Linked DNA regions of Notamacropus eugenii. The protein of the gene in region 2 interacts with the protein of the main gene of each other region in a pairwise test. Links are inferred from orthologs where the notes say so. Each region holds a gene or a part of one and is shown on either strand. Other genes may lie near its edges.

What was found. The genes of interacting proteins can lie anywhere in the genome.
Region 1: the proteins of AP2B1 (region 2) and GTF2I interact in binary tests that used the Homo sapiens proteins (3 or more experiments, as listed by UniProt). The link is inferred for Notamacropus eugenii from reciprocal best matches to the Homo sapiens genes AP2B1 and GTF2I.
Region 3: the proteins of AP2B1 (region 2) and ITSN1 interact in binary tests that used the Homo sapiens proteins (3 or more experiments, as listed by UniProt). The link is inferred for Notamacropus eugenii from reciprocal best matches to the Homo sapiens genes AP2B1 and ITSN1.

Annotation. Positions count from the first base shown.
Region 1 is NC_092873.1:48,620,291-48,627,864, reverse strand, and holds the start of GTF2I (general transcription factor II-I), read left to right. Parts: upstream 1-4,457; 5' UTR 4,458-4,522; intron 4,523-5,422; 5' UTR 5,423-5,443; coding exon 5,444-5,537; intron 5,538-7,574. UniProt on the Homo sapiens protein: Interacts with the basal transcription machinery by coordinating the formation of a multiprotein complex at the C-FOS promoter, and linking specific signal responsive activator complexes.
Region 2 is NC_092873.1:307,739,133-307,746,856, forward strand, and holds the start of AP2B1 (AP-2 complex subunit beta), read right to left. Parts: upstream 3,091-7,724; 5' UTR 3,009-3,090; intron 1-3,008. UniProt on the Homo sapiens protein: Component of the adaptor protein complex 2 (AP-2). Adaptor protein complexes function in protein transport via transport vesicles in different membrane traffic pathways.
Region 3 is NC_092876.1:425,621,528-425,628,738, reverse strand, and holds the start of ITSN1 (intersectin-1), read left to right. Parts: upstream 1-4,094; 5' UTR 4,095-4,225; intron 4,226-4,246; exon of another isoform or gene 4,247-4,924; intron 4,925-7,211. UniProt on the Homo sapiens protein: Adapter protein that provides a link between the endocytic membrane traffic and the actin assembly machinery. Acts as a guanine nucleotide exchange factor (GEF) for CDC42, and thereby stimulates actin nucleation mediated by WASL and the ARP2/3 complex.

The DNA.
Region 1 (7,574 bases), about 260 Mb from region 2:
AGCTTTCCAAATGGTCTGTCTCTTCCAGTCTCTTGCATCCATTCTCAACACAACTGTCAGTTGGACTTTACTAAGTCACTTCCCTGCTCAGAAGCCTCCAGGGGCTCCCTATTGTCCCTGGAGATACATATACCTTTGTTTGACATTTAAAACTCTTCACCATATGTCTCTAGGTTTATTTAATATCATTTCTTGCTTACTTTTCTAGCCAGATTGGCTAATATGTTGTTCCCCAGACATGACATGACAGGTCTCCCCACTGGGCTTGAACAGGGAAGGCTCCCCCTTTTCATTCCCACTTCTTAGAATTCCTGGCTTCTTTCAAAGTTTGGGTCGAGTGTCACCTTCTCTAGAAAGCCTTTTCTAATTTAAGATCAATATAAACACTTCTTAAGGGCTTACTATGTGCCACAATCTGTTTATATTTTATAGCCTTCTTGTCCCTCCTGGCCCAGCAGAATGGAAAGTCTTTGTGGGCAGGTACTTTCCTAGCACATGGTTCCTTGCACAGAGTAGGTGCTTAACAAACGATAATTGAACTGAATTAAAAGGAATAAATATGGTAAGCCCTCCTCCTGGTAGTAGTATAAGTCTGGGGGACTAGGAAAGAGGCCTCTAACCGAGAGAGTTATGAGAGCTTTGGTGTCCTCCGGGGAAAACCTGGTTTCAATTAAAGAGGCTGAAAGAGCACTCAAGGCAAAAACTGAGGATAAAGGGAAGTTTGTCAGAATGATGTCTATGGTGGAGAATCCAAAGGGCACCATGGAATGAACTGAGAGAAGTGGGCAGGGCTAAAGTAGGCCTGGGGAATAGGGTTGAACTGAAAAGAGGTGAGAGACAGGACACTGTAGGGCGGGCCTGCTGCTCACATTCTTAGACAGCAGAACTTCTGTCCTTCAAGACCTAGCTTAAATGCTGTCTCTGGAAGGAGGCCTTCCCTATCACTCAAACAGAAGTAATCTTTCCTTCCTCAAAACTCCCCTATTTACTTGTTTCTAATTCTTAGGGCATTTATTCTGGTGAACCTTGTATCCTTAATTATGTCTTTTGTCTTTATTATATTTCAAGCTTCTGGAGGATATGGAACATGTCTTAAGCGCCTTGTATCCCCCACAACACTTAGTAAAGGGTCTTGTGCATTGAATGAATGTTTTAGGGATTTCATTGGTACTGGATCTCTTTTATCTTTTCTGGGCCAGATCCTTCTCTATTTGACTTCTCCTCAATATTTCCTAAGAAACTTCCCCCCCCCCCCCCCTTTCAACTTCATCGCAGGTTACAGGTCTCTCTCTGAGTTCCCCTAACCACGGAGGAAGCAAGTACCTTTCACCAGGTAGATCTAAACCAATCTCTTTGAAGCTTCTCCAACTTGTTCTATCGGAGTTGGAGCTTGGTGTACATTTTCTATTTGTGCACACCTACATGTGTTTGGTATTTACTTTTCTGTTTATGTGTTGCTTGTCCAGTGTCCAGGGTGAGAACTCTGAGGGCAAGGGGTATTCCCTTTCTTTTGGTCTCTGCATCCCGAGCGTGCAGGGCAATGACTGGCATCTAGGAGGGGCTCAGTGAGTGCTTGCAGAACCAATCTAGTCAATTACCAGCTCTTCACACGAGAACCTAGTCAATTACCAGCTCTTCACACGCCACAACCAGCGTGCCTTATCAGAACAAAAGGCATTTTCAGACGCGAGTGTATGTGAAACTACTTATATGTGCATATGTATATTGCAGATCTGGAATAAAGGAACTCAGAGCTGGAACAATTCGGAAAGCTTGAGAGGAAGCCCAGTCCATGCAGGAGAGTAAACGTCAAGGGTTGAACATGGAGAACTAGGCTTTTCCTTTCCGTAACTTCACAGTGCAGGCTCGTTTTCCCGGTTCTCCAACCGCACTCTTCATAATGTTGTGCCACATCTGCTACCTGTGCATGATCCACCCAATGGGACACGGCAGTGCGGGATTTAAATCTTATCTTCCTGCAAATCCATTTTCAAATTCTAATTCTCGGGAGATTTTGTCTCAGCCGCCTCCGGTAATCTGAAAGGTTCCTGCGGGGATCTGGGGAGGCGGCCCCCCCAGAGCGGTGCAGCAAAGGACCCCCGGCCGTCACAGCGGCAGCGTTAGCAGGCCCACCCTCGCCCCGCAGCGCTGCCTTCACTGAGACAGCAGGCGGTGTCTTTATCTCGTTTGAGAGCAAGCCTGGAAATCACCTCCGGAAAAAAAACCAACCAAGCCAACCCCGGGGCAGGTCCATGGGGCACCAGCCCTCGTCCCGGACGGGCCAGCCGGGCTGTGTCCAGTGCCCGATGGAGGCCGGGCACCGCGCTAGGCACGGGGACATCAAGGTAAAAGCCAGAGCTGCTACTTTCGCCTCTTACTGAGGTGTTTATAAGTAAACACGACGCTGGCCGAGGGAGCAAGCTCGTCCACACTCCCTTTCAGAAATCCACAACTTAGAGCAATCGCTGATTTACTTTGGCGAGGCGGGCACGGTAACCACTCTGAGGACGGCCCAGGTCCAGCGCCCACGACCCGGCCACTCGAGCTCGCCTTCAGAGCTGCCCTTGGGCCATTTCACAGACGGACAAACCGAGGCCAAGCGGACGCCTGGGTTGGGTAACGAAAAGGGAGCGCTGCGGGGCCCGGATCCCGCGTCCCGCTTGGGGGCCGCGCACGCTCCTCGAGGCTCGAGGCTCAGGGCCCGGGGCCCGGGGCAGGCTGGAGCCCGGCGGGCCTGGCCGGGCGCTCGGCCGCCGGGCTGCCGCTCGCCACGTTCTTGGGCCGGGGCCGCACAAAGGGAGGCCCGCGAGCCCGGGGCGCAGGCCTCGGCCCGGCGCGCAAGCTCGCATTACTTGATTTCCTTCTTTTCTAAACTTGGTGGTGCCCGGGCGGGCGGGGGCGCGCCGGCCCCGGAGGCCCCGTCGTGCCGCAGCGGCGGGAGCCGCTCTTTGTGTCGGGGAGCGGCCGTGGGGGCCTCGGGAGGAGCGGGGCGGCCACGCGAGGGTCGAGCAGGGCCGAGCACAGCCGAGCCGGGGTTCCCCTCCCCCTCGCCCCCCCCCCCCTTCTGTGCAGCCGAGCAGGCCCCAGGTGCAGCTGCAGCAGCAGCAGCCGCAGCCATGTTCGTCCCCGGCTCCTCCTGCTCTGCTCCTCCATTGACAGCCCTCGTCCGGGCGGGCCAGCGCCGCTCGCTCTCGCCCCGTCCCCGAGTTCGGGGCTCGCCCTCGCGGTGCACCCTGGGAGTCGTAGTCCGGCCCCGCCGCCCTCGGCCTGGTGGGCAAGGCCCGGAAGACTACGACTCCCGCGGTGCGGTGCGGCGGGTGCGCATGCGCAGCGGGCTCTCTAGGAACAAAAAAAAAAAAAAAAAAAAAAGAGCGAGCTGAGGAGGAGGAGGAGGAGGAGGAGGAGGAGAGCGGACAACAGGGGCCACAGACCGCCGCGGGCCCCCACCTCGCGCGCCCCCTCTCCGGCCGCCTCCCGCCCGCCGCGCTCTGCTCCTCCGCCTTTCGGGCGCTCAGGCCAGCTGTGCGCGGAGCGTGGGCCCTGCCGGGGGCGGCCATGCGGCGGTGACAGGAGCGCGGCGGCGACGGCGCCAGCGACGGCCCCAGCCCCAGCCCCAGGCGCAGGCAGGACCGGCCAGCCCGTGAGCGAGACCGGACGCCCCCGCCCCCGGCTCGGCCTGATCGGCGCCCCGAGCCCTCCCCCGCCTCCTCTCTCCGCGCCTCGGGGCTGCCCGGCGCCGCCGCCGTCCCCGCCGTCGCTGCTGCTGCTACCGCGGCTGCCGCTGCATCGGGTGAGTCCGAGGCCCCTTCGGCCCTGCCGGGCCCAGCCTGGCCTAGCTCGGGGCCGCGGTCGTCACCTCCTCCGCTGCCGCGGAACAGACACGGGGGCAGTTTAACGGAGGGGTGGTTATTGTGTGTGGGGGTGACCGTCGACTCCCCCCGCCTCGGGTCCCGGGCTCCGGGCCCCGGGGTGGGGGCGGGGTGGGGGGGTTGCGAGGGGCGACGGTTGGACGCGCGAGCCTCGGGGACGCGCGCGTGGGGAAGTGCGCGCGGAGCATGGGGGTTGGGGGCGGAGAAGGCCCTGCGCGCGCGCGCCGGAGTTAGCGGAGAGAGGGAGGTGTGCGTGCGTGTGTTGGGGGGGTAGGGGTAGGGGTGGGGGAGGGGGGGGGGGTGTCCTTGCTTCTCACCCCTCCCTGATTGGCTGGGGCGACAGGGGTCGCGCGCTCTGGGCTCGGGCCGGGGCCGAGCTGGGGTCGCGCGCCGGCTGGGCCCTGTCCTGGGACTCGAGCGCAGGCTCGGCGGCGGCGCGCTCGGATTGGCCGGCGGGGCCGGGGGGCGGGGCTTCCGCCGCCGCCGCCGCCGGGCTAGGTGAAGGTGTCAGCCCCGCCCCGCTGTGGCCCCGCCTCCGCCCTATCGCTCCCCCTCCCCCTGCCAGGTGGGGCCTGCTGAGGCCATTGTCCTCGGCGGGTCCTGCGAGGGCGGAGGCGGAGCCGGGCGTCCGAGAGTCCCTGAGGGGCCACGAGGTGCTTTCTTCCCCTCAGTCTAGTTTGGGATCCCCCCCAGCCTCCGAGTCTGGGCTCCTGGAGGCCGTGAATGATGCGGATTCGAACCCCTGTCTGGAGTTGGTCCGGCCCCCCCCCTCCCCGCCTGCCCTCCCCTCCTGGCTGGGGCGGCTCCCCTTGGCTCGGGGCCTGGTTGGACGAGGCCTGGGACCGAGGAACCCGTGTAATTGTGGGGGGGGGTCGCGGTGGCCCCTCGGGAGACTCAGGCCTGGTCGGAGCCCTGCGGGGGGGGGGGGGGGAACGGAAGGGGGAAGGGGAGCGGGAGCGAAGACGAGGGTCGGAGAGGTCAGCCCGGGGGCGTGAAGCCCCGCCCCCTTTGCACATTTCCGGAGCTTCCCCCCTCCCTCATCCCGGGTTGGGCCCAGTCTACGCTGGTCCGGGAGTTGGGGGGGCTCAGTCTCCTTGGGGGTCGAGGCCTGGGATCGAAGGTTGGAGGGGGAGGGGGGGACCCGAGGCTTTATCCAAAGGGGAAGGATCTGCCGAGGTCACCGTCAGGATGGGGGGGTAATTAGAGGGCCGCGAATGGTTCGAGTTTGGTTGGGTCGAAAAAGTCCTTTGATGTTCTTGTGAGAGTTGAATGAATGGGGGACGAGGGGGATTGGGGCGGGGGGGGGCGATGGCGGGCGCAGATAAGGTTTCCTTTGCCCCTGGGGGCGTCCTGGGGGCGGATCCCTAGCCCCGGGCTGTGGATCCTCGGAAGGGAGGTAAACCGAACGCTGCGCTTTCCTTTCCTGAGTCTCGGTGATTGTGGAAGGCAGCGTCCGCGTTAACTGGCTTAGATAGGCCTTCGGATTAAGGACTTCCGGGCAATTATTAATTTCCTGCTCATATCTGATTACTGAAATCGGGCCTTTTTTATAGAAATCGTGTTCTTCACTCGCCATGATTAACTGTAAAAAAATAAACACAGTTTGTGGCTGTCGGCTGCTTTGGAGGAAAAAGCACAAAAGCCGGGAGGATTGGTCTTGTTTTTTTGGCAAGTACTAATTTTTTTAATATGCACCTAAATTAGAAGTAATGCTCTAGTTGAGCGCAGGTTTTCCTCTTTTCCATCTTATTCCCTTGTGTTTTCTCAGCCTTTTCGATCTTCACCCTTGCCATTTGTCTTCTCCCCCCTCCCCCCCTTTTTTCCTGCCCAGGCTTTGTCTCTACAATCTGGTCTTTTAATTCCTGTCCCGCCCTGGTTTCCTCTCTCTAGCTTTCCTTCACGCTGTCGGTCCACCTTGCTTATTCTTGCCTGCTAACCAGGCGTTGCTAAAAGCATGACAGAAGCCCAGGAGTTTGGGACTCATCCTCTGTTACAAAGAGAGCATAAAGGGGTAGACAAAACATGCCAGGAATTCCTTCAGGAGGTAGTTTCCCCAACTGGACTGGGACACAGTGGAGTGGAGGCCCTGTCGCACCCTTTCCCAGCCTTCTTGCTCTGTGCCCTGCTTGGCTGAGGTTCTCCTAGATCTTGTGCAGAGGAGGCATTTTAGAAGCCTCCTTGTTTCTCTGAACAATCACTGCTAGTACAGTAGGATGAAATGGGGAAAGCCTGGGGCTCAGCATCTCTCTTCCTGATGTGCCATGCTGTGGAGTCTTAGCCAAGTGATTTCACCTTTCCAGGGTCATCATTTACTCATCTTTAAGAGGAGGGGCAAGATTACAGTACATCCTGTTCCTCAAATTCTACTTCTCTGAGATGCCAAACAAATTTACCCAGCAATCCTTAATTATAATGAATTCCAACTTCAGGGATAGTGGATATCCATGATTATGCCGAGGCATCCTTCAAACAGCTGCCAGAAGAAGCTTCTTTTGAGCACACGTCTGATCTGCCCTGTTCTGCTCAGCAGCCTTCATTGGTTGGTCCCTTATTCCTATTAGGATAAAACACAAACTCATTTGGGTATTTAAAGCTTTGCCAGATGCCACTCTAGACTGAAATTCTTATTACCCTTGACACATTCCACTTTTCAACCAGATTGACCTACTTGAAGTTCCCTTAACTAGGCATTCCATTTCCTTGTTGCAGGCCTTTTTGGTGTTTGTTCCCCCCCCCCCCCCCCCATGCCACCTCCTATAGGGTTGGGAGGCAGAGTGGGTATCTCTCACATTAGACAGTCTTAATGAACTGCTTGTTAGGTGAATGATTATTCAACTTCTTTATTAATTACCTAGTATGTGCCCAGGTACTGTCTACTAGGCAGAATGGTAGGATTCAGGAGGATTGATTCAGATCCTAGGTAGATACTCATTAGCTCTCTGACCCTGGGCAAGGCACTTAACCCTTTCCTACCTCCGTTTCCTCACCTGAGAAATGAAGTAGGGTAGGACTAATTGGCTTCTGAGGTCACTTGCAGGTTTAAATCTATTATCCCAAGTAAACACAAAGTGGTTGTGCAGGGAAGATTGGGTAACCTGGCAAAGGCAGGCAGAGATTGTCACGAAAAGCATGGAGGCCAGGTGGGCTAGAATAGGTAATGTATCATCAGCCTGGCAAGGTTAGGTGAAACCATTGGGAAGGATTTGCAGTGCTCAACAGAAGAGTTTGTATTCTGTCCTAAAGAGTCATGAAAAGTCCTTGGCAGGGAGATGCATCAGACCTGTCCTCTCTAGGATGGGTTGGAAAGGGAAATAGAAACCACTTAGTTTACTGCAGTAGTCCAGGTGAGGAGACAACACATAAGGTGGTTTGCAAATGTTAAGGCACTGTTAGTACTGAGAGCCTAAGCTAGGGTGATTTCTGTGCCTGCAGAGGAAGAGACAGTTTGGAGAAAAGTTTTGAGGGTAGCACTGACAGGACTGGGTGATTGTCTGGATGGGCTGACGAGAGTGAAGAGAGGAGTTTGGCTTGGTGGCAGTTTTGGACTGGGAGGGTGGCTGGTGGTGTCCTTCCTGGATGGGTGCAAGGAAGTTTGGCCTCTGGGGGCCATAGAGTTGGAAATATCCCATACGCAGGATGGGAGCACAGGAGAGAGACTGGGGGGGGGGGGGGGGTCACGTGCAGAAAGTCATTGAGCCCAGGAGA
Region 2 (7,724 bases):
GTGAATTGAGCCTTGAGTACAAGGATGCCAGAAGGGGAAGGAAGGAGCACATACCAGGATACCAGGAAAGGGGGACCTAGAGGAAAGATCACAGCCCAGTTTGGCTGGATCACAGAATGTAGGAAAGGAAGTAAACTAAGTAACTAAAATAAGCTAAGAGGAGAAAGATAAAGTGAAATCAGATTGCGGACTCTCAAGCGCCTCACTGATGAGCACTTATTTCATCCTAGAGACCACAGGGTTCCACCAAAGGGTTTCTGAGTAAAGGGGGGACATGGTCAGAGATAGATGGGAATGAATTAAAATAATAAATTAAATAAAATTAACATGATTTGACAGCTGATTAGAAATGTAGGAGCAGGGGAGAAAAGGGAATCAAGGATGAAAGAAGGAAGCAAGCCTTTGTTAAGGACCTATTAGTGCAAAGTGCCATCCTAAATGCTTTACAAACTATCCCGTATGAATCTCACAACAACCTTGGGAGGTAAGTACTATTATTATCCTCATTTCAGAGATGAGGAAACCAACCAAGGTTGAGTGACTTGCCCAGGGTCACACAGCTAGTAAGTGTCAGAGGCTGGATTTGAACTGAGGTTTTCCTGACTCCAGGCCCAACACTCTATATACTACAGAACCCTGCTAGCAGTCACTAAGATGACCATAAAGTTAACACCTATGGGTGACAGGGAGGAGAGAGGTAGATTTTGTCACTTGGGAGAGGTGGGTTTTGAAGGGAAGACAATTCAATAAATGTTAAGTGCATGCTATCAAGAAACCGAGCAGTATGCCTTCATTATTATCTCAGAGAAGAACAGGGATGAAGATACAAAAACTAAAGGGACTTGTGTTCTACCGCAGAATAAAATAGCCACTGGTTAAGTAAACAGTGGAGACAGCATTAGCAACTATGAGTAAGAAAGGTTTCTGGGAGAAGACAACGAGATGAAGAGAGAACATGTTCCAGAAATGGAAGCCTGGCTATGCCAAAGCACAGGGGTAGAAGTTGGAGCTGGAAGTACTGACCACATCCAGGAGGCTACACAAGCCCAGACAGAGATCAGACCTAATCAGATCTGGGAGTCATCTGCATAGGTGGTAACTGAATTCCTGGAAATGGGTCAAACAACCAAGAAAATATAGAGGGAGACAAGAGGGACATATAGCAGAATGTCAAATCAACAAGCTTGCATTAACCTCCCACTCTCTGGCAGGCATGTGCTAAGTAATGGGGATACAAAAGAAAGACAAACAGTCCCTATCTAATGGGGGAGACACAAGCCAACAACTATGTGCAGACAAGCCATGGGGAGGATAAATAGGAAAGAACCAACAAAGGAAAGGCACTGGCATAAGGGTAATCAGGGAAGGTTTCTTTAGCTGAGACCTGAAGGAAGTCAGAGGGGCAAGACAGGAGGAGGAAGAGCATTTCAGGGGTGGGAAACATCTAGTGAAAATGCCCAGAGCTGGGAGATGCAGAGTCCTGTGCAGAGAACAGCGAGGCAGCCAGTGTCACTGGATGGAAAAGGACAGTGGGGGAAGGGAGTGGTGTGTCCATGGTGGTGCCTGAGGGGTGGGTTATAAAGGGCTCTGAAAGCCAAAAAGAGGATTTTATACTTGATGGGGGAGATGACAGAGTTTACTGAATATGGGTGGTGATCTGGTCAGACCTGCACTTAAGGAAAATCATTTTGACAGCTGCGTGGGGAGACCTGAAGCAGGCAGAGGCACCAGGAAGCTATTCCAATAGCCCAGGCAGGAGGTGATGAAGGCCTGCTCTAGAGAGGTGACACTGTCATTAGAAAGGAGAAAGCATAAGAAAGATCTTATGAAGGTAAAAATGACAGGAGTTGGGAATGACTGGATATGGTGAGGGTGAGAGAGAGGGGGGTTGAGGATGACACACACCCCAGGTTGTGAGCCTGAGTGACTGGGAGGATGGTGAAACCCCTCCCTTGGGGGTAGGTAGGGGCTGTCTCACTTTGTAAAAGGGATCCTAAGATCACAGAATGCTGAGGCACCTCAGAGTAGTACAGACAGCCTCAGAACCAGGAAGGTTCAAATCCACTTTGATACACACCGGCTTCATCACCCTGGGTGAGTCACTTCACTCAAATTAGTGTCGTTAGGAGGCATGTAAGTCGGAGTAGCTCATCTCCACGGGTAGAGAAAATTCCTTACCCAAAGCTCTCTTACAAGTCAGAAAAAGATGATATAAAAAATCTCGCCCATGATGACAGCTTGCGTTTACACAGCACTGAAGGTTTACGACACGCTTTCTACATGCTGTATCATTTCATCCTCACCTCACCCTGGTGAACTGCGTGCCATTTTACAGGGGAGGAAACTGAGGCTGAGAGAAGTTAAATGACTCCTCCCGGGTCATTCTGCCGGTGAGTGTCCGAGGCAGGATGCAAACTCAGGTCTTCCGGACCCGACGTTCCCCAGTCTATCCACAGTGACAATTACGTGCCTATGGGTGGCTGAGGGCCTCCAGCCGTGAAGTTTCCCGCTCTGCCCACAGACCGGGGATCGGAAGAGGGGGAGGGCACTGGTTCTTCGGCCTCTGCGCGCCGCGGATCTTTACCCGAGTTTTTAAACGTAAGAGATAAAAGAGGGATTACAAAGAAAACGCCGCGCTCAGTAGGTCGCTTGTCCCCACCCCGATCACCGAGCTCAGAAATCCTCGTGCGCGGGCCGGCCGCCAGACGCGGAGCCAAGGTGCCCGGGTCGGAGAACTCGGGCGATCCTTGCCCTCAGGGTTCTCAAGGCTTGGGGGAGTACGGGGAGAAAGGGGGCCCCCACGAGCCCCGGAGCCCGGCCTGGAACCGCGGAGGCAGAAGCGCCGCGTGAGCAGCCTCTGAATCTGACCAAGCCTCTGCGGGCGGGCCCGCGACACCCGGCCACGTGAGCCCCGAGGAGGGGAGGGATGAAGAGGAGAAGGGATCCAGGCAGCGGAACCAGGCAGCGACGCCGCGCGCACTAGGGCGGCCCAACGCGCCGCAACTCACCCCCGGCTCCTCGCAGAACGCCCGGAGCTCCTCGCCACTGCGCAGACGCGGCCACCGGCGAGCCGTTTCCGGCGGGACAGCCAATCGGGACCTAGCAGACCTGTCACGTGAGGCGTCGGTCCCGCCTACCACGCTGGAGTTCCTCCACCCACTCTGCTGTCTTCAGTCTGCTTGGCTTGATCCCGCTTCCGTAGCCCATCCCCGAGCTTCTGGCTGGGGAGTCCGGCCCCCAAGGAGGCGGGGATGGAGGCGGGCCTAAAAGCCCCCCCCCCCGAGGTCTCCAGGCCACGCCCCCTGCACAATTTCATTTCATTTCATTTATTCATGGATTTGTTTTATTTATTATTTTATTTATATTCTAAATGTGACCAGGATCAACGACCATGGAGGCGGGATTTCAACAATCTGGCTGATTCTAGTCCTTTCCCTGCCAAGTCAAGTCAATGGGCATTGATTAAGCATCTACTGTGTGCCCCCAACTGCCCTAAGACAGCCCCAGCTCTCCAGGGAAACCGCGTGCAGACGACTGTGTTGGCAGCTAGTAGGTCCACTGGACCTGGAATCCCGAAGTCACTGTTTTCCAGTGGTGTCTGATTCTCTGGGACCCCCTGGGGCTTTCTTGGTAAAAATCCTGGAGGGGTTCGCCATCCCCTTCCCCAGATGAGGAACTGAGACAAACAAGGTTCAGTGACTTGGCCAGGGTCACACAGAGAGTGTCTGAGGTCACATCTGAACTCAGGTCTTCTTGACTTCAGGTCCTGCACTCTATCCAATTCTCCATCTCGATGAAGGTGGACCTGAGTTCAAATTTGACCGCAGATACTCGCTGTGTGACCCTGGACAAGTCACTTAACCCTGTTTGCTTCAGTTTCTTCAGCTGTAAAATAGGGCTAATACAAGTACCCACCTCACAGGATTGTTGTGAGGATCACATGAGATGTAAGAAATTCTTAGCATCGTGTCTGGGATGTAGTAGGTGCTTAATAAATACTCATTCTTTCACCTATGTACAAAAATATCTACAAGCCAAATTGGAGATAACAAACACGAGGCTCTGTCTTCTCTCTGAAATAAAGAAGATGGACAAGGTGGTCTTTAAAGACTTTCCCAGGTCTATAATGATGCTTTAGGATAATGGAAGTCTTTGGAGAGGTTGCCTTCAAAGCCCCCTTTCAGCCCCCTCCCCAAGAGCATCTATTTTCTGTAAGGATTACCACTTCTCTCTTCTACCCCCACCCTCACCCCTACCTCACCCTCACCCCCATCTCCACCCAGTAATCATGCTTCTTAGATGCCAAGATGTAGAAATAATTACAATAGCACCTCTTTATCAAGAATAGCTAGTTAATTATTAACTAACTTTTATTAGTTATCAGTTTTTTATTAGTTATTAATTAACTAATAGTAGTTATCAAATGGTCTGATGACTAGAGATGAATGGACAGTTTCCCTGGGAGCAGCCTGGTGGTGTCTATCTTTCTCCCCAAAGAAGAATGTTAAACCTAACCTAACTAAGAGCACCTCCTTCTCCAAGCATAACTGCTCAATTGCCCCAATTGCAAAACCTAATTGAGGCTCTGCAGCCATCTGACTTACACTTTGATTAGGGGATACAAGCAAAGACAAAAGACAATCCTGTTTTCAAGAAGCTTAGAGTCTAATTTGTTACTAGAAGTTAATATAACAGACAGAACTGAGGAAATGTGTTCAGGGACAAGAATTCCCTTACTACCTCTATCACTTCAAAAGTCTATTCCTGTAGCACAGAACTCCACTTTCTCTATACCCCACTTTGTTAAGACGAATTTTGCCCCCAGAGATTTATTAATCCATATTAACAATGTGGTGTAGAGGAAAGAGCACTAGATAGAAAGTTAAAGACCTGCACTCTATCCCTGTTTCTACCTTAGACTTTCATTTCACTTCTCTAGGGAGAATAAGCAAATGGACAAGGGCTGGTTGTCTGAATCTATAAATCTAAAGATTAACCCACTGAAGCTCAGATCCTAGAGAAAAAATTTCTCAGGATACAGTTGCCATTGTCTGAGAATAGGAAAGGGTATAGCATTCAGGTGGATTTCTGATTTTGAATAAAACAGTCACATAAACTGAAATTATAAATATAACCCTAACCTTCTATTTATTATAAAACAACTATATTTTCACTCTTTCGAAATCATTTCTTCCTATGTTAAAGCAGTAGACTAAACCAATGGGAAACAAAAGTCTGTCATTTCCATATCATTCAGAGAATCATTGTCAAATGATGAGTACTGAAAGCATTTCACGTAAAAGGCTTCAAAGAGTTGACTAGAGACATACACCAGTCTATGGAAAGTATCCCCTATACATACTTTTGCCGTTTTCTTCAGATATAGACTTGCCCAGTTTTGAAAAATGAACAAGGTAGTCTGAGTGCAAGGAAGATGCTACAAAAAGACTAAAATGAATCCAAAGCCAGGAATGGGGTGAGACCTAAGGCAAGAAGATATTGGTAATTGGACATTCAATTGTTTTGCTTTGGTGCTATGTGCCATCATATAATCCATCTTCTATGCCAACCTGGAAATTCCACCAAACATTTGTGAAATGTATAACAAAGCAAGTAGACCTGCTTGTATAGCAAAAAGTTTTTAGGAATACAATACTGAATTTTAAAAACTGAACTGAAACCTTGCAGAATACAAAGGAATGCAAGATGCATATAAATCTCTGCACATTAAATTTAAAAAGGTGGAAAGTATTTTTACATAGTCGGAGCTCTCAGTCCAACATAGGTAGTAAGTTTAGTCTAGGCTGCCCCATTGAAAACCCCGGTATTTTCTCATTTTTGCCTCATTCTGTCTTTGGCCTTACTAATCTTTTTCCCACATGGTTCTCTTGAGTCCTTATCAGCCTGCCTCAGCCTGTACATGTTATGAAGACTGGCAGACAAAACAGTGTCATCTTCTGCTTGTCTGGTGTCAGAGGATAGCAAGGTTATTTATGCCAGGTGACAGCTACCGAGACTCAGGCAAAGCCACGACATGAAACTTCCAAAAAGAAACAGCAGGTAACAATAATTTCCTCCTGTTTTGTGGTTTGTGTCTATAGCAGGAAAAGTTGCAAAGAGAAGAAAAAGTAAAAACTAGAATATGTGAGAAAGATATTTCCATGATCTGAGAATTTCATTCTGATTCCCTAGGTTAGGTGTTAACCTTAAATTTTACTATGTTACGGATGCCTTTTACAGATGGGTGAAACCTATGGACTCCTTGTCAGAATAATGCTAAGCTGAATAAAATAGAATGTATAAGATTATGAAAGAAATATGCCAGGTGTTTCAAAATTATCAAAGTTAAAGACTCTACTAAGATTTTGGGGTCCCCCATATTAGAATACAGATGTCAAAATATTAATTTTTTTTCAGAAATCTCAGGGTAAGAACTCTTTCCTTAGATTTAATTTTCATCGATTTCAGAGCTCTAAGGCTACATCTCTAGCTCATTCAAAATCAGAGTTGTAGAGTCTTTAGCAGAAACTTATGGACTTATATAAAATATCATGTTTGTATTATGATATTCACTTCGGCAAAATGCACTTAGCTTAGGTGACCTTTTTAATTTGTTGAAGTTCAAGTCGACTTATTCAAGTAAAGTAGAAAAGGGGTTAGAAAGGAATCTAGAGTCAGAGGAAGAGAAATACAATTTCTCTCTGCCCTTTTTTTCCTTCTCATAGACATTCAAATCATTCACGTGGCCCCTGTAGTAGAAGGAGGCCTAAGAAGGAAGAGGCTCTCTGTTCTTTCCAGAGTTTGATTTATATTTAAGGAAGGAAAATGGGTTCACTTTCTGGAAATATGTCTAGGAAACCTAAGTTAAATTTGCCACTTTTCATTGGACAGGTGATTAGGGAACAGGTCCTCACCTATAAAAGAGAGGAACTGGAGGGTTGCTTTTAACTAATCCCTATGGGGTAATCAGGAGGACCACCCGATCTGTTGGATCACAGCACTGGCCATACACTCTAGCCACTTTCTGTGGACCACTTGCTTCCTCTGGAACCTCAGTCAAGTACAAGGCCTAGTAAGTACCTAATTCTTATTATTCTTTCCCATACTAGATATTTCACTGCCTATCAAAGGGACAGGGATCCATGGTTCCATTCTTGTATGAGGAAATTTTCTTGTCCTTGATGAAAAGGAGAGAACTTAGTCAGTTTTCAAATGAGATAATTTCAAAGGAAATAATAAATAAATAATAAAGGAAAGCTTACAGAATTTGAGAATTATAGAATTCTCAAAAACTTCCATTTTTCCCTTATTTAAATGGTAAAACTCTAACCTATGATTCCCTCTAGTTCCTTGTGCCTTTCTCCCTTCATTTTTCTAAACAAGAGCATCTTCTAACTGATTCACTTGCTTTCTTCTTTGTTTTCAGCTTCTGTGTACTCTGATAACTTTCGGTTTATCTGCTAAGCTATCTGTCTCCTTAAATTGTTTTTTACTTTTTCCTGTGTCTGCTGTTGGCTTGTGCAGACATGATGCAGAGACAGCTGGGAATCTCAACAATATTATTGTGATGTTCACTCTGAAAAAGTAAAGGATATTGGCAAAGTCATTGGTGAATGTTGCTTTCTAGGCAGGTCTCATAAATGACTTACAGTGTTGGCATGGCATTAAAAATAATCTTTTGCCTTTACAGAAATTTTCTGGCATTTTGCTTGGCATCGTCACAA
Region 3 (7,211 bases), on a different chromosome or scaffold from region 2:
TTATTATTCAGACTACAATAATGGACCACCTGTTAAACTGGTTCATTAGTGCATATATTTTGGGCAAACAATGCAGAAGGACAATGAATTGGGTCCAGAACTGAATTGGAGGTGCTAGTTGGACTGCCTTTGAAGAACTGTTCAGGGCTTTTAATATTTCAGAGAACAGCATCTTTTTAATACCACTAATTTTCTGTTGATGCTATACAGCAGCGTTGAGTCATGGGATACTAAAGTCTCTGAAGAATTAAAATTTGGGGTTACCCAAAGGAAATGTACAGGCACAAGGGGAGTACGAGTAAACTTTACATGCCAATGAAGGCCATTCTTAAGAAATGGCATGAAGGAGATCATCCAAAAGGTGTCTAACTGGAAAAAGAGATGGGTCCATATAATGAAGGATATTAACTGACCAGCTCCAGTGCTGTACTGGTATTCATGAAGTATCAAGAGAAAGAGAAGAAAGTCCCCAGAATGCTTGGTTCTTTTCTAAGGAGAATTTATGGACGGTCACAGACAAGAGTAGCATAGGCTGAGAGGTTACAGATGGGCTGCAATTTGTACTGTTAGAATACCTGTTTCAATGAAATCATAGATTCATCAGCGTTATCAAAGCAAAGCTAATAAACCTTTTCAATCTCCCAGAAGCATCTAACATGGATGTGGTTCAAGACTTCTGATTTTAATTCTTAGCTTACTGTAAGAGGAAATAATTTAATTCTCTTGTTTGGGTTGCAAAAATGAGTTATAAGAATGACAAAATATTTACAAAGGAATGAAAAACTTTCAGTAGGTAAAAATGGTCAAATAAATATTTTTATAATTAATGAAAACTGAAAATAATTCACATGCCACATGCTCATACTCTGACTTGTTTGTATTTAAATTATTTCTTTCCCAAGAAAATTCTTTTTCTTTGGATAAAAATGTTCACTGAACAGATGGAATTTTTGAGTCTAATAACATCTTTGAAATCCATATGTACAGTTCAAAGGGGGAAAGAAGGTGTTTGCTATCACACAATTATTGAATTACAGATTCACTACTAAACTGGTAATTCAGCATTACCAAGTAAAATCTGAGATTTATATAAACCCAGTGTAGTAGGCACTATTATTATACCAATTTTATATTTGGGGAAACAGGTTCATGGAAGTTAAGTGACTTGCCTAAGGTAATATAGTGAGTAAGCTGAGGCAGAATTTGCACTCTAGACTTTCTAATTTGCAGCCAAGTATTAGTTTAAGAATTTTTATATACTTTTTTTGCTATTCAAAGCAATAAACACCTAGTAAAAATAAATCTAGTCTATTTCTGATTATGAGTGGAACAGTTTTATCAGTTTCTCAAGTATATTTTCCTACATAGTATCTGACTCCAGAAGAAAGTGGCAAAATTATATAAATGATTGTACTTTAAACTAGAGGCAGTCCAGTTTTTTACAAAGAACACTGCTGACCAGGTTTATGCCACAGTTTCCATTTTTAGCATAATACTTTGTCCATACCTCTAGCTCTCATTTTGTAAGCTAAAGATCAGAAATACTTGTCTATAGCAGAAATTGGGTGATGAATACATATATGTAAGGAGAAATTAAGCATAACTGTAAATGAGGTAAAGGAAATCTCAGGATGAAAATCTTGTGCGCCAGACTGTTTAGGCTTATATAGTGAGTAGTCTTATTGCATAATATACGGGTCTTCAAAAACTGATTTCTGAGCTGCTAAATGACTGGAAAATATATTGTTAAAAGAACTGTAGGAAAATGGTATGCTTATTTCACTGTTGGTAGAGCTGTAAAGGCGTTCAACTATTCTTGAAAATAATTTAGAATTATGCTAGAAAAGTTACCTAATTGTGAATACCCCTTGACTCAGATTGGTACTCCAGGGGTAGTGATGGAAACTAAAGGCCCCATGCATAAAACCTTTTCTCAAAGTATTATTTTTCTAATAAAATACTGGAAACAATGTATACGTTAAACAATCAAGTAAAACCTAACAAATATGGCATAAAAAATAGGGATGATAAGGAATAGTGCACTACTAAGAGGTAAGGAAAGAAAAATACAAAAACAATTCAGACAAACACCAGCAGAGGGGCATGAAGTGGCACAAAACAAAAACACTAGAGACAAAAGAACCACATATCCAACAAAGTCAACACTGACGGGCAACAAACCTCTCTGGTCAAGGAAAATTCTAAAGTCAGTGGTTAGTGCCTCTGTACACACACTAAGTACGATGATTTGGACATAAAGGGTGATACCATAAGCAAATTAAGAGAGCAAGGAATAGTTTATCTATCAGATCTACAGAGAAGGGAAGAATTTATGACCAAACAAGATAGAAAACATTATGAAATGCAAAATGGATAATTTTGATTACATTAGATGAAAAAGTTTTTGCACAAAGTCAAAGCAATCGAGATTAGAAGGAAAGCAGAAAGCTGGGAAACAATGTTTCTGACAAAAGTCTCATTTCTAAAATATACAGAGAATTGATACATAGTAACTGTGATTGGATGAGGATTGTCACTTAAATTCTTAATGCTCCCAGCAGCAAGGCAACCAGGTGATGCAGTGGATAAGGGTGCTAGGCTTGGAGGGAGAAAGATCTGAATTCAAATCCAGCCTCATATTCGATGATAATATGCACAGTGCCTGGCATAGCGTAATCACCTAATATAAATAGTTGTTTCCTTACTCCCCCAACCAACTTTCAAGACTGAGGAAGAAGACTGACGTCTCTATCAGTTGGGAAAGTTTTCACAAAGAGAATTCTGTACACAAAGATCACAAGTGAGGACTGGAACCCCCCCACCCCCAGTATTAGACCATTATAATACACTCTACAACAAGGCTATATAGGGGTCCTGTGACTTTTGGTTAATGATGACTGCAAAAAAAAAAAAGCTCTCAAACGTCACACAACCTAAGTCAAGGAGGCAATAAAAAAGAATCACCCATTGCGGGAACATTTACAGCTCGATCCCTTTGTCTAAGAAACTGAGACTCAAAGAGATAAGGGGACCTATTTAAGATGCCATACTAACAACATACTGCCAATTGACCACAGAGGGTGAAAAAAAGTTAATTCAATTTTATTCGAATCACAAGCAAACAAAAGTTGAAGGGAAAACCCCCCCACATTATTAAGTACTTACTATATGCCAGGCACGGGGCCAAATGCTTTACAAATATCTGATTGATTCGATTCTCACAACCACCCAGGGAGGAAGGTGCTATGGCGATTCCCATTTTAGAGCTGAGAAACCGGAGGCGAAGGCGTTTGCCCCGGGTGGTCCCAAGGCCAGAAAACGTGGGAGGTAGAATTGGAATTCAGGTCCTCCCGAGGCCAGGGACAACACGATCCACCGCGCCCCCTAGCGGACAAGGTCCAAACCGAAAATACACCAGGCTTTCTTCCGCGGAAAAGGGGAAACCAAACAAGATGGGGCCTCCTAACTCCCCCGGCTCTGTTTCCTCGTCCGTAAGGGGTGTGCATGTGTGCATGCACTAAATGGTCTCCCAGATCTTTTCTAGTTCGAAATCGAGAAAAAATCTGCCGTAAACGCCAATTCGTCACTCGCGTCCGCTCTGTCGGGGCCCAAACACTGGACTAGGGCCGTGGCGGTCAACGGCTTCGGGCCGCCGTCCTCCCTCCCCAAAAGTCTCCACGCCGCGTCACGAGCCCGGTAACCTACTTCCTCCTCATGCCAGAAAGGAGGACTGTAAGGTGGCTGAAGATACATACCTGAGTAGAATTGGGAACCCACACTCCCCACGTCCTCTTCAGTCCCGGGTCATTCCGTTTTAAAGCCCGCCCCTAAACCCAACACTTTGCCCCCATTGGCCCTATACCCTCTGTCTATCAGCTACAGCTTGTAGCGTGGGAAGGAAAGCGCTACGGTAACTAAAAGAGACTACGTCTCCCAGCATGCTTCACCAGGAGCCACGGCAAGCGAGGGAAGGACTTTGCTCACGAAAGCATGTTGGGCATTGTGGTCTCATGATTCAGGCGACCATTTCATGCAAATTGAGTGAGTCGTCAAGGAGACGCCCTTCTTAATCCCCCGCCCCTCCCTTGAGCCCCAGGCCCTTCTTGCCTTTGGGCGATGGCGGTTTTTCTGTCCCTTCCAGCTAAATATATTTAATAGCTACCGTGACGGAGCATAGAGAGAGACTCAGTCTGGCACCACGTAGCATGTGACAGCATCACATAAGGTGAAAAGGCCGAGATTGTGCAATGATTACACCGAAAAGCCCAACCCATGCCAGCCCGCCCAGTTCCTAACATCAACCCTCCCTCCCTTCTGGCCGCGGAGCCCACCCCCCCAACTTCCAAATCCGAGCTCCTATTGGTCCATTTGGATGTCATTATTTCCCTCCTCCTTTCCCGGGGTAGGCGGGGCGTGCAAAAGTCCGCCCCTCTCACTCCCCGCCTCTCCCTGCCCGGCCCACCGTCCGAGTCCTCCTTCCCGGGAGGTAGGAGGGGCCATAGTCTCGGGATTGAGAGGTTGCTTCCCTTCCCCCCACATCTGTGGGCGGGGAGCAAGGTAGAGAGAGTGCAAGCGGGACTGGGGGGTAGAGTGGGGGTTTAGAGAAAGAGACCGAGGCGGAGGAGGGGAGAGCGCGCGAGACTGAAGGGAAGGGTGAAAGATAGATGATGGATTGATAGATAGATAGATGATAGATAGATAGATAGATAGATAGATAGATAGATAGATAGATAGATAGATAGATAGATAGATAGATAGAGTTGGGTGCTCCAGAGTACGGCGGCTCGGAAGGGAGAATCCCGAGAGAGCTCCCGGACTGGAGGGGATGGTGTGCGGTGCGGCGGCGGCGTCTTCATCCCTCCCCGGGGCGTGTGCCCGGCACTGATTTCTCCCTGGGACCGCGCAGATCCCGCCCGGAGATGAGGTGGGGGAAAGGCGAGCTGGCGGTGGGCTGAGGCCGTGGGGGGAGGGGGCAGGAGCAGAGAAAGGACGGGATCGCGGAGCTGTGGAGGCGGCGGGTGTGTGCGTGCGTGTGTGTGCGTGTGTGTCTGGGGGGGGGGGGGGCCTGTGTGTGTGTGTGTGTGTGTGTGTGTGTGTGTGTGCGCGCGTGTGTGTGTGGGGAGAGAGATCTCCCTGGGAGGTGACGGGGCCGGGTCGGGGAGCCACGGCCGCCCGGGTGGAGACTTGGGCAGCGACCCCCCTGGCCGCCTTTGGCCCCCAGCGCCTCTGCCCATCCCCGGAGCCCGGGCTCCCCCGCGCCCTGCCCTTCTCTCTCTCTCGTCGTCCTTCGTCGCCGCCGAGGCGGGCAGGGCCGGAGTGAGGGGTGGGCTCCGCGCGTTCGGGGCCCCAGAGGAGCCCCTGGAAGGAAGAGACCTTGGCGGTGATTTGCAGTTAGGAGTCCCTGGCGGGCGAGGGTGATTTGTTGGGTGATTTTGGTGTCTTAAGGATCGGGCTTCAGGTTGATCGGGCCTCAACACCTGGCTGGGAAAAGAGCAACCCTCTTCTCTTATCTTCCCTCTTCTCCACCCCGCCCCCTGCGTGTTGCGGGGCTGGGGGCGCTGGATCCTTCCCGGACGAGCCTTCCCCTTCCCCCCACCCCTCCACTAGTCATGGTGGGGTTTGATAATCCAAGCCATAACCTTCCCAGTTTTCTTGGCAAAGCTACTCACTGCTCACTGGCATAGGTTTTTCAGTCTTTTCTCCCTGGCTCATCCTTATCTGGGTTTCGCAAAAACCAGTGTCACTGAAGGACACGGATCCTGTTTTAATATCCATTCTCTTGCTGTGATCTCCCTCTCTGGAACCACCAGAGAGGCGTGTATGGGTTTGGTTTCTCATCTCTGTTGCTTTTCCTTTCCCAGTTTCCCTCCTTTCCCTCTGCACACAGTTTTATGTTGTGAACAGAAAGAATAATTTTCGTGTCTCCTGGCTTGATAAGGTCATCACCAATAGTGCGTGTTTGTATTTGTGTTCTCTTGATTTTCCTGTCTGTTGCTCCTTTTTTCACTTTCCACATGCATAGTTTTATGATTCCAACTGAAGGAGCAATTGCCGTGTCTCTTACCTAGAGAAGGACATGGCCAATTAAACAAGAAAATGTAGTTGGAACCCTCAGGAAAAGGAAGCCAATGTGGGATCATCTTCCTGTGCCTTTAGTTCTGTTTGCCTTTGAATTAGGAGACAACTTTATAGATTATATTTCCTGTGAGTACTTTTGTCCTGATTCAGCTGTTCTTTTTTTAGTGAAAATAAATTTTTGCTTTTTAGGAAACAAATTAGTTACGATAGCTATTGTATTCAGTCCGTTGGAACTGTGGCAGATTTTTTTTCCCAAGGACATTTTGGTATGTTGTTAAAATAGGAAAACTTTTGGTATCTACTATTTAATGGTGGCATCAATCAGTTTCTTTTTTGCCAAAGGAAAGAAATTGTAATGTAACGTGCAGAATTTCTAAACTTGTGGTTTTGTCTAATTGTCCTTCCACCTTTTTTAAGTAGAATTTTTTTGGATGTTCTTTTTGCCTTGTACATTTCATGGTTGGGAACAGGCTTCTTGTGTCCATCATGCAATTCTTCATTGCCCTTTGAATTACTTGCAACTTTGACTTTTTAGATGTTGTGGTGTTTTGAGATTTGAAACAAACCATTTAGCCTTATGAGAGAGTGTGTTAAAAATGATGCATTTTTGTCCTGGGGAGTATTTTGGGTTTCTTGTAAAGACTATACAGTTACTCAAGTGCCATCCATTCATTTCTGGTCTCAACTCATTGTCTTATCAATCATTCCTACTCCAGATATACATTAAGATGAATGAATCCCACTGTACTCTGTTTTTGTCAGACTTCATCTGGAATATTGTGTCCAGTTCTGGGCACCATGGGTTAAGAAGGGCATTGTAAGCTGCAAAGTGAGCAAAAGAGGGCAATCAGGATGGTGAAGGAACTCTTCAGTTTATGACAAATGAGAATCAGTTGAAAGAACTGGACCAGTTTTCCCTGGAGAAAAGAAGACTCAGGAAGGCATGTGTTCAAGTATTTGAGGGGTAGTCATGTGTTCTATTTGTCCCCAGAGGAAAGAACTAGGAGCTGTGTGGGTAGAGGTTGGAAAGAGGCAGATTTCAGCTTGAGATTGTGAAAATTTTTCAACAATTAGAGCTGTCCAGAAATGGAATGAGCTGCCTTGAGAGGTAGTAATTTCCCTCTCCTTGAAGG